2 linked regions of the Caenorhabditis elegans genome follow. The protein of the gene in region 1 interacts with the protein of each later gene in a pairwise test. Each region holds a gene or a part of one and is shown in the gene's direction. Other genes may lie near its edges. The genes, in order: mus-101 and sld-2.

Region 1 (7,813 bases):
TGTCAGCGAATCTGTAATTTATGAAAGTTAAAAATGGGCATTTTAGCTTCGTAAATAAAATCATATAATAGAAGTAAGAGATAGATAAAAGGTTTAAAATGACCTGTTTTTTTCAAGAAAGTATGGAAAAAACTGATCAAGAATCGAGCCGTTGAGCCGTATGAAAAAAAAAAAAACTTCCGAGTTTGAAAACACAATCGCATAAATTTTCCGCTCGCGCCGTAAACTGGGGACAAACAATTTTTGATCTATTCTAAATGTTTTCATGTCTGAAACTGAAATTGACATAATTTTGACCGAAATTTTTCGAAATAAACTAATTTTACACCATGAAATTGAAGAAGACAAAGACATTTTCAAAAGATTTTACAAGTTTTATGGAATATTAGGAAAAAAGATTTCCAAGCCTCTTGACTACGGTATTAATTAGCAATCGTGGTGAGACCCAGCAACAACATATTGAATAGGTCCTTTAAGACCAACAGTTTTTAAAGGTTTTTTATTCATCACGTGTTTTCAGCTCGACCATTCGGTGTAATTTGTGCAAACACCGTCACGCGCAAATGCAGACTTTTGCACGCGCTGCGGTGAAATTCCTCTTGGGGAATTCAAATATTTTTTCCCGCCTTTTTGTGAAAATTTTCGAGGCGTTGGTCGAGCTGAATACACGTGTTCATTTTACATTTTTAAAAATATGTTTCCGGTGTTTTCGGTGTTAATTGAAAATGTTAATTGGGCCGGCAAGCTTGAAGATTTTTGACATGAGAAATTTAGGATATTGGCGGCTTTCCAGATTACGGTATGCAACGTAAGCAAACAAACACTTCACGTAATTTTGCAGATCCACGGAAAATTTATAGTTTACTTTTTTTGAGACCCAAAGAACTCGGGGGATGTCCAATTGGGGGGATTACCAACTCGGGGGATTGGCCCCGCCCACAGAACCGTGGCTTGCAATACGCCCATTTCTGCAACTGCCGCACGGTTTCGAAACTGTATTTTTCTCAATAGAGCGAGAATTAACAAGAAAAATACAGTTTCAAAACCGTGCGGCAGTTGCAGAAATGGGCGTATTGCAAGCCACGGTTCTGTGGGCGGGGCCAATCCCCCGAGTTGGTAATCCCCCCAATTGGACATCCCCGAGTTCTTCGGGTCTCCTTTTTTTTTACTTTTTTTTTACATCAACTTCCGGTAGAATCTCGAAATTTTGGGTGTTGTTGAACTCTTCATCCTTTCCTCGCTAATATGAAAATGTATCGTCATTTTTCAGTATGTGAAAATGTATCGTTGAACCTTAAATCCAAAAAGGACAATACTTACGCGCGATGATACTTGGAAAATAGGAAGTGGTTTTTCCGATGATTTTTTCGGAAAAGTTTTTAAAGAGAAACTGCTATATAATTTTCATTCAAATAGAGATGCTATAAGCCGCTGTTCCGTACAGTTTTTGGCTTTGAGATAATTTAAATTACTCTGATCAATTGTTTTCTCCATGTTCACATTTCCATCTTCCAGATTGAACTCTTTTCACAAATTTCTTCATACAAATGAGAGAAACTGTCAGCAGTTCTGTTATTCAGAATATCGAGAGACGCAGACAGTCATACCACTTCCCGTCGTGTCTGTTCGCATTTCACACGCGCGAAACTGTCATTTTTGAACTTAATGTTAACACCCTACCCTGCCAATTCTTGAGTTTTTTACTGGCGAAATTAGCTTTTTTTATTATCAAAATATTCCAGATTTTACAATGGAGGCACCTCCGGCCCCGAAGAAGGCACGAAGGAGTGAGGTAATTATATCTGATTTTCAACAATTTTAATATCAAAACTTCAAATTTCAGGTCAGTAGGATGCAAGACGAGTCGGTGCTTTGCGATGACGATGAAGAAGATTCTCCGTTCACATTGTACTTTGTCGATCTTCCCAATGAACCAACAGTCAAAGAAATTCGCAATTTAGAAGAGTTATTCAAAGTATTGCGTTATTAATTTATTTATTTTTCAAGTTTTAGGCGTATTTTCAGACTGCAAAAGCTGTGGGAATCATGCCAGAATGGATTGATTCAGATGCACTCGAAGATCTGCAGAAATCTGAAGACTTTTTCGTTTTACCCTGTTTCCGCGGAAAGCTTTTTCGAAAACTTCAAGCCCGGAAATTGAAGTTTGTGTTAAATTAAATTCAAATAAATTCAAGTCCACAAAATAAAATTACAATATTCAGAGTATACGGTCCTCCAATTGTTCTTGAAAGTATCGAAGATGGGAAGCAGCTCCCACAATGGAATCATCCAGTGTATTCCAGTGTTTTTCAAGACGTAAAAATCAGTTTCACCGGGTTGAATCTTACGAAAAAGCAAGAACTCTACGAAAAAATCGGATGGATGTGTGGAGTGGTTGGAGATGCTCTATATCACGAAACGACTCACCTAGTAACTGAAAAAGCAGAACAGACGGAAAAGTATAAGGTTAAATAGTATATCAAGCAGAAATTTAAAATAAAATAAAAAAATTCCAGGCTGCTGTCAATAATTCAATCAAATTAATGCGAATCGGATGGATTGATGATCTCTGGGAAACTTCTCAAACCACAATGGGCAGATTTAGTGCTTTATCGCGGGATTCAGTTAATTCCTATGCATTGAGAGTTTTTGAAGGGCTCGTGAGTGATCGAAATCATGAATTTGAATTTCAGTTTTATACATTTAAATTCAGGAAATGGCAATCACATCGATCGACGGCGCTGATCGTACCAATTTCATTCAGCTGATTGAAGATCACGGAGGAAAAGTGCCTGGAACCATGTCAAAAACCAGATGTAGCTATCTTATCAGTGATAAAATTACTGGAGTAAAATATGCAAAAGCTGTTGAATGGAAATCAATGCAAATTGTGCAGTCTCGATGGATTCGGAAATGTGTAGATTTAGGACATCTTGTAGATGCGGGGTTCGTTTTTGAGAGGGAATTGGCTCAAATCAAGCGACATTCATTCAAAAAACATTAAAAAATCCGAAAAAGAGGAACATTTTGCAGAAAAAATATATTCTTAAATCAACGAGCTTACGCGAGATAAGCTATCAAAACATGCAATAAAAATTTAGGATTTAATAAAAACTGCGACAATGACAGGAAAATGAAAATTCCGTTTTTAGCAAAATAATCCTTTTTTTTCAGTTTTTTTTTCTGTGTTTCATTATAAAATTTGCTCGTTTTTGGGCGCTCTACTTTCCATTCAAATGATGTTGCCAGAAAAAGCGTTTTACAGAAAATATCATCCAAAATATTTAACGGCTGATCATATTCGATCTTCCACCCCGAAACGTGATGCTAATGTGACTGAAAGTGTGCCGGATATCTCATCAATCGCTGGACATGGAGGTCGTTTGGGTACATCTTCATTCAATTCTTCTATTCCACAAATGGATCAATCATATCAACATCAATCAGGATCTTCGTTTATTTCATTTGCTTCTACGTCAAAAATCCCGTCGAGTACTTTTACGAATAATGATTCAACATTAGGAAGATCTGGAAGCGGAGTTAGAGATGGAATGTATGTGAAAACGGAAATTTTAGAAAGAACAATGAATTTTCGATATTCAGATCAACTCCAATAGCTCGAGTTCAAACTACTCCACTGATTCGATATCCAACTACTCAAACAGCATCCGTTCAAAATATTGCTGACGTTATTTCTGATCCTATCGATGAACTTCGAAAAAATATTGACGATGGACTTGGAGATCTTTTTGAAGTTTTTTTTTTCTATTCTTTAAATCAAAATTAACATCAATTTTTCAGAACTGCATGTTCTATATATGTGGAGTCGACGAGTCTCGAATGGAAAAATGGCGTCGATTTCTGAACGAGACTGGAGCAACGCGTGTCGCAAAATTCACATCAGCAACGAATGTGGTTGTAGTTTCGCCGAATCAACAAGAACGAATTACCATTCGAAAACACCTTCATCAAGAAGATATTGCAATTGTTACTGTTGGATGGGTGGTCGAGTGTGTCAAACAGCGGAAAATGATTTCAGTGGAAGGTCTCAGCACTTTTACAACATCCTCTTTCTCTTTCGAAGTTTTTTTTCGGAAATTTGTAAATAGAGAAATATTTGTATTTTCTGAAGAAAACTTCATCTTTAATTAATAGCTTCGATAAGTTGCTTGAAGATTTCAGTTTAAAACTGAATTTTTTTTTAACTTCGAAGTTTCGTTTTACAAAACTTTTTTTTTCTCATCAACATAAACCTATTTTTGACATATCTCCCAATTTTTTCCTTATAATTTCGATGTTCTCAAAAAACACCAAAATATTTCGACGAAACTTTTGATGCAACTTCTCAAAACTTAACTGAAAATAAAGTTATCTTCAGAAAATAACAAATATTTATAATATATGTATGATTCTCCGGAAAAAAAAACTTCGATACAACAGTGAACCGAAAAAAGTGTCGAATACCTCTGGATGGAACGAACAGTTTAACTATTAATTTTTTCAGGTTATCAATGGACTGAAAATACAGCTGATGAATCACAATCTTCTCAATCTCAACTGCAACCAGTAAGACCTCAGCCTCTTCCCCGGACCTCGTCTAAATCAACCATTCCATATGGTAAAACATCAGGACCAAGCTCTACTTCAACTCAAGTCGGAATTTTCTCGTACGATTGTATTTTATTTTTTTATGTTCCTTTTCCATATTCTCATTTTCAGATATCACACGTATTGTGTCCATTGTTCCGTCGATCAAGAAGTTTCTGATGATTTGAAAGAGAAAATTCCGTTGAATGGAGGCAAACTGATGGACGATCCAGATTATGCGGAGTTTGTGATTTTCGGACATTCTGGACCAATGCACGAGTTGATTTCATTTGATGCTGTTGTCACGGATTTTTATATTGTAAAGATTGAAACCTGACAATATGCCAGACAATATATTTATTTTTCAGTACGCGAGCATCGGAAACAACAGATTTCTCAATCGATCGTGTTATCCATTATTTGTACCACTTCCCCGTCCTCCAATTCTAATTTTCAATCAACGTGGCTTCCAATTAAAATGCAAAGATCCATTTCTCCGTGATCGTGTAAGAGATATTATCGAGGACAATGGAGGAAGAATTGTGGAGCAGTTGGAACCAAAGGATTTTATTATTATGATTGATGCAGAAGACAATCCACCAAGATACCATTCCCGAACACTCGATTTTTCATGGATTATAGCCAGTGTGAGCAGATGTCGATTGCAGCCAATTGATAACTTCCTGTATAAGAACAACACGAGGCCTCTAAGTGGATTTCAACGAGACGATGATCTCTGGGAAAAGTGTTCTCGAGAGAAGAATAATAGTACACAAGAAATGGAAGTTGAGGTTGAAGATAGACATCGAGTACAGGATCTACCAGTAGAAACTGGGAATGGGAACATCGGTGACATGACGACCCCCTATGTGAATCCTTATTTCCCCGATCTTCGAAAGCCATATACGATGAAGTGAGTTTTCTGGTTGCAAATTATGAAAATTGTGAAATTCTAAATTTTAACTACCGTAATTTGTAGGTTATTGCGATTTTCAAAAAAAGAAATGTGTATTTCAGCATTTTGTGCAACTTTTTCTCTATTAATAAGCTTTTCCTGGAGCTTCATCTCAAAAATATTGTTGATCAGGTTTTTTGAAATGTATATTTTAAAAAAGAAAAAAAACATGAGACATTATTACATTAAATTTTGAAGAATCGGGAGAATATTTCTCCGGACCGTATTTTCGGAGCATTTTTGGGAGTTATAATGGTAATATCTTAAACTCATTTAGATATTTCTGAAAAAAAAATTTAGTTGCAAAACTTTAAAATAACACATAATTTGTCAATGTTATCCAATTTTATAGCCTCCAACTCGACGGTGTTAGCGAATACATCAACAATATGGAGTCACCGGCACGTGAAACACAGGAAACGCTGACAACTTCTCGAGTTGGAAGCATCCTTCGAAAAGCTGTCGTGAACACTGGAAGAAACGAAGATTTCGAGGATGAGCCTTCCACGTGCCACCTAATTCGACCCAGAGTTCCAGAAAATCGAAAAACTGTCTCTAGTGTATGGCATTTCTGTTGTATATCACCGTTAGAAGATTTAATAGTTTCCAGTATTGTCCGAATAGTTTAAGGAATTAAATATATTAAACTCATAGCCAGCTTATTAAAACTATGAGATAAATGTGTATTTTTCAGACTCCCGTTCTTGTTCGTGATGTAAACCGTTCAATGAGATATATGCCAATGGATGAATCATTCGCAGATCAAAATCAAGAACACGAAGATCTGAACCGTCGATATGCAATGAATCCACGTTTTTTGCTCAGTGTTTCTAATATGGATCCTCAAGTTAGATTTCTTAAGTTTTGATTTTCAATTCTATATATTTGTTTTTTTCAGCGAGCCGCAGATCTACAAGAAACTATCATGAAGCTTGGTGGTACCATCGAACGTGAATTCAATAAAGATGTGACTCATCTGATTGCGAGCAACATGCAAAGAGCTCCAAAAGTTCTTTGCTCAATTGCAGCTGGAAAATGGTGTCTAACACCTGATTATGTGACTAAAAGTGCTGAAGTTGGTCGATGGCTCGATGAAAAATCATTTGAGTGGACTCGAGAAAAGTTGTTGGCGTGTTCGAAAAAGAACGAGTCCCTCAAAGAACGAGATAGTCGGAAAGTTTCCGAGAATCTAGCAGCTGTTTGTGGATTATGGAGGCAACGTGTGGCAGAGATGCCGGTTACATTTTCAGTTAGCATGGTCAGTTTCTAGATATGTAGCTTTCTGGCTTTTTGGGTCAATTTCTGAATTGAAATTTAAATTTACTAGAACCAAAAACATTCAAAACTCACTAGTCTGCTCAACCTGTTTGAAACGGGCAAATCTTTCAGGAGAATCGTCAAAATGGAGCATTCTCGGATTGGCGTTGCGTAATTCATCTCGACGATAAGAGAGCTGGCGTATTTTCATCGATTCTGGAAGCCGGTGGTGCCATTGTTCATTCGATTTCCGAGTATGTAGAAGTATCTACACTTAAGCCTAACATTGTTTTGGCATCCAAAGAGTTCCCATGGAATCCTCAGGTAAATTAAGAAAATCTCTTCGATAAAATTTATTCAAATTTTAAGAGCGCTGTGTTGCTGAAACGTGATAATATTCCGATCTACGTCTTCGACATCCTTTACGACTTCCTAATCGACAGAGATAATCTAAATCGAACCAAGTTTTGGCATAATGTCTACATGAAAGCATGAGCCATTCCGATTTTCTAAATGTGCTATATATTTTTAATTGGTTTCATTTTTTGTCTTTTTTAAATTTCTAGTGATTGTTTCAATTTTTTGTTTCGTAAAGTTTTCAATAATTTTGCTTGTCCTCGTTGCTTTAATTTATTTTGAATCGTTTAAATAACGTAATTTTATTCTTCTCGTTTCATTTCTTATAAGAGAATATCTTTTCAAACAAGTGGGAAAACGCGCGCAGCTGCCTCTCATGCCATATGTTCCCGCTGTCTACGGTTTGCACAACGGGAAAATAATCAATAAATTACTTCCATTCTCTTGCACTACCCTTTTTGCAATTACGCTCTAGTGAATGGTTTTCTTATGTATTTTTTGGATTAGTATTTGAAATTTTAACAACGTTTCCAGAAATTTTGGTTTTAGTCCCACACCAAAATATCTTACTTTTAAAATTCTTCAAAAGGTATTTGAATTTCGGAGCTTATTTGTTACAATACATTTAATGTTTTAACGAAAGTTTCGCTTATACAT
Region 2 (3,957 bases), 6.7 Mb from region 1:
GCATAAATTGAGATGTGATGACAGAAGAGGTTAAAGGTGTGCGCGTACATACACATACATTTTTTTATGTCTTTGACCCAAGAAGGACCAGTTCTGGAAACACAATCGATCAGAAGCGACAAATATGCCGTTGTGTGAACCTTCGTGACGTCACGGGAAGAATTGTTTTGGAGTAATCACATTTTTTCCTCTATTATACATTTGTCTAAATTACGTCAGAGTCAGAAAGGAAAAAAAAGTTGGTGCCTATTAATTAAACATCATAAAGATTTGATAATAAATATATACGTCTATTTTCAGAATTCAGTGGCAGAATTCAATGGCAGAATGGGGCAAGAAGTAGACAACACACGGGAAAACTCTACGAGAAATATATCCAGGCAGGTGCAATTCAGCTGCCAGAATACTTAAAAAGTACTTTGGAAACTGTTATTCAAACGGGGGCTTTGCGTCATACGTTTTTAAGCGAAATATACTTTTTGCAGATGCAGAAAATGAACTTTTGAGATGATTCTTCCAAAATATTTCAGAATTATTTTAAAATTGAGAAAAAAAATTATCTTTACTCAAGGAAAGCACGGAGTATTTCTAAAAATTATTTCAAGCAATATTTGAACTCTCCGTGAAATATTATGGAGCGCACGATATACGACTTAAAGAAAAGTGAAACGAGATCCGGTTTTTATGGTATAGGTGCGAAGACTAAGTGAAAGTAGACGTAGAAGTAGCTGACACTTTTCGATAAAAAACCCCTACTAAAATGGGGTTTGTTAACTTTTAAAGTAGCCATTTTATTTTTCTAGTTACATACAAATCTTTAAAGGAGTGTTTCGTTACACAGAGGCACGCCCGAATGCAAATTAGATGACACAAACCTTCTGAACGACAAAGTTTCGCGGTGACACTTCTGTGCAAATGTAGAAGGCGTCCGAGTCGAGCTCGAACGTGTCCATCTCCGAAAAGGGACGTCGACGCCGTGGAGAATGGTGAACGAAGGAGAAGAAGTCAGTATCACGTCATCCGACTTATGGAAGCGAATGGAGAAGTGGGTGGTGGAGAAGAAGGAGCGTAGAGAGGGGCGACGGGCGCAGCAGCAGTGGCCAGACTCTTCTTCTCTGACCGTGTCGTGTCAGCCGGTTTTGTGAGGGCAGAGAGAGAGAGAGACACGTTGAACGACACAAAGAGACGGAGACAACGCAAAAAAAAAGTGAGAAGGGGAATGTGTGCACAATATGGTACGCAGACGACGATGTGAAAAATGGAGGGACGAATGGCAGGCAACAAGAACTGGGAAGAGGAAGAAGACGCGCTTCTCGATTGTTTTTTCTAGAGCGAAAAGCCTGGAATATACTGAAGGCAGCGGACGGGGCTCTCCTGCCATCATTAGGGACCCGCAAGAGAAATGAAATAGAAAAGCAAGGGAGATGGAGAAGAAGTATGGAAACAGAGACATATCCCTTTTCAGCAATTCTTCGATTAGTTCGACAATTTCATGGAGCCAAGGTTTTGGAGTGGAGAGAAAGTTGAATTCAATGAAAATGTCATTCGGCTAAATATTTGATAGAGGAAGATGATGTTAATGTTAAATAACAAATTATTTAGTACAATTCAAGGAATACAGCTTCAAATTAGTCAAATGTTTACAAACTTTACAATAAGGAGTTGAATTTAATTAAAAACCAAGTAGAATTATTTAAAATTTTATTCCTAATATGGAATAAGCACGCGTTTCCTAATTGACAGTTCATATTCTCTATTCATATTATCCTATTCAGAAAATTTCATCAAAATATCAGTTTAAAAGCAAGAAAATACAGAAAAAAGGCTACAAATCTGGAAATTTTCAGATAAAACGTGGAAAAAATATATAAAACAGAGCTGCGATTCAAAGCAAGCGCTGGAAAAGTGTGCGGTGGAGCGCACTTGCCACACATTTTTGGCGCGAGTTTTGAAAACAGCTCCTGGTTTTTTGGTTTTTGCTCTCATTTTCTCTATTTATTTTCTTATTTTCTTTGTTTTCACATGTTTTCTGCCGAATCTTTTCGATTTCAAATTAAATTTTTAAATTATTTTCAGCCCGAACGTAATGGAAGAGTGGAAAACGTCTTTCCGAGAGATTTATGGAAGATCACCAACGGCAGGAGATATTTCTGTAGCTCCGAATCATATTAAAGGTAATTAATGGAAAAAAAAACGTATTTACATTAAATTATTATTTCAGCTATACTTCAATCTGAAAAGAAGGAGAATGACGAGAAAATCGAAGAGAAGCAAGCGAAACGTGGAGTGAAGCGGAAGAATTTCGAAATGAAAATGATGGAAGGCGAGCAATTCAGCCCTATCAAAAAACGAGTTAATCTTAATCAGCTCGGCTCGGAAAATGATAAAAATCCAATTCCACTGAGATCTTCACCCAGAAAGGTTGATATCGCATTAAAAACTGCTGAAATTTAAAATAAAATTGCAGAAAATGATTGCGATCGAAGTTTTGCCGGAAAAGAGCATGGTGTCGCCTAAAAAGGTTTGAAACTTTAATAATCTTTATAATAATAAAATAAACTAAATTTCAGAAGCCAGTGGGATCAGTTCCGTTCGAATTCGACGACTTTTCCCCTGTGAAGTCATACTCCGCGAGCACATCAAAATCTGCCGTTAAATCTACGCTAACACCGATCAAATCTCCAACAAAACGCGCTTACCAGAGACCATTGAGGGTTTGTTTTATTTAAATACTAATTTAAAATTTCCATTTTCCTATTTCAGGATCTCAAAATGCTTCTCTTACCAACGCCGGAAAAGGGTCAAGAAGTTGAAGGTCCGGTTGAAGAATTCGATGATGAGACGTGAGTTTTAGATTTTCATTGAAATTTCGAGCTTTAATTTTCGGAAATTTGCAGATTCCAGGCTATTTTAAGCATTTTTTTGACACATTTCATGCAAATCAATCTATAATTTTTTTTCAGAAACGAAGATGTTGCCAAAGCACGTTCCTACAATCCAGCAGCCAGAAAACTCGGCGGTTCATCAAAAAGCGATCAAAACTTCCAGAAAATCAATCTGAGAAAGAAGCAATTCGTTCGCGGAAAAGTTACCGCAGAGCAGAAGCGAAAGTTGAAGAGAAAACAAATGTTCAAGAAGAAGTACTGAATATTCTAATTTGTCTAGAATTTCATTTTTACATTATTATTATTCGGATTTTTATGTATTTTATTTTATCATTCACTTATCGGGTTTTTCAAAAACCGCAATAAAAGTTTTAAAGTTTTTTTTTTTTAATTGCGTTCTGGGGCAGGAGAACTAAAGCTTCAACTTTTTTCGAATCGGAATTTTAGGGAATAAAAATAGAGTGCATTTTTTTTTGGTTAAATTCATATTACAGAGATGAAATATTGATATTTTGCACGAAAATACTGTACTCGGTCTCGAAGCGACCGATTTTTAATTATTGCAAATAAGTGTGCGCCTTTAAAGAGTACTGTAGTTTCCAATTCCTAATTTTCGCCAAATTTTCATCGATTTTTCATAGTTTTTCTCCAGGTTCTTCAAATTTTTATGTATATGTTTTATGCATTTTCACATTTTTTCGATAAATTTTCAAGAAACGGGGGACAAATTGAGATAGTCAATTAAAATATGGCAGCAACAAAAAATTTCCAACAACAGTACCCTTTAAAACCCGGTCGCTTCGAGACCCGTCTTTTTACATTAAAATCGCAAATTTTCGCAATATAATAAGCAGATTTGCAAATATTTCAGGGTTTTTTAGATTGAAAATAGTTTTGAAAGAGGAAAAATCTCTATTCAGACTTCCAACTTGAATTTTTTTTCTAATTTTTCAATTCGATGCCAAATCCCTTCAACAATGTATATATACAGCAATGTAACCGATAATGTGATATTATCGGTTAACGATTCCAGTTGATGTTGAGGATGCCGATTTGATAGCCAACCGATCGG

Evidence for each region.
Region 2: the proteins of mus-101 (region 1) and sld-2 interact in a two-hybrid assay, tested with the Caenorhabditis elegans proteins (one study listed by BioGRID).

What each region holds. Positions count from the first base shown.
Region 1 is NC_003279.8:10,478,899-10,486,711, reverse strand, and holds mus-101 (BRCT domain-containing protein), read left to right. Parts: upstream 1-1,747; 5' UTR 1,748-1,750; coding exon 1,751-1,792; intron 1,793-1,843; coding exon 1,844-1,975; intron 1,976-2,013; coding exon 2,014-2,162; intron 2,163-2,222; coding exon 2,223-2,466; intron 2,467-2,516; coding exon 2,517-2,660; intron 2,661-2,713; coding exon 2,714-2,946; intron 2,947-3,265; coding exon 3,266-3,553; intron 3,554-3,603; coding exon 3,604-3,754; intron 3,755-3,801; coding exon 3,802-4,045; intron 4,046-4,504; coding exon 4,505-4,667; intron 4,668-4,719; coding exon 4,720-4,906; intron 4,907-4,955; coding exon 4,956-5,500; intron 5,501-5,894; coding exon 5,895-6,102; intron 6,103-6,236; coding exon 6,237-6,389; intron 6,390-6,440; coding exon 6,441-6,800; intron 6,801-6,931; coding exon 6,932-7,123; intron 7,124-7,168; coding exon 7,169-7,294; 3' UTR 7,295-7,410; downstream 7,411-7,813.
Region 2 is NC_003279.8:3,739,382-3,743,338, forward strand, and holds sld-2 (Ribosome biogenesis protein NOP53), read left to right. Parts: upstream 1-2,069; 5' UTR 2,070-2,086; coding exon 2,087-2,174; intron 2,175-2,221; coding exon 2,222-2,421; intron 2,422-2,467; coding exon 2,468-2,521; intron 2,522-2,570; coding exon 2,571-2,714; intron 2,715-2,763; coding exon 2,764-2,843; intron 2,844-2,963; coding exon 2,964-3,147; 3' UTR 3,148-3,266; downstream 3,267-3,957. Other genes in the region: larp-5 (HTH La-type RNA-binding domain-containing protein), read right to left, coding at 876-953.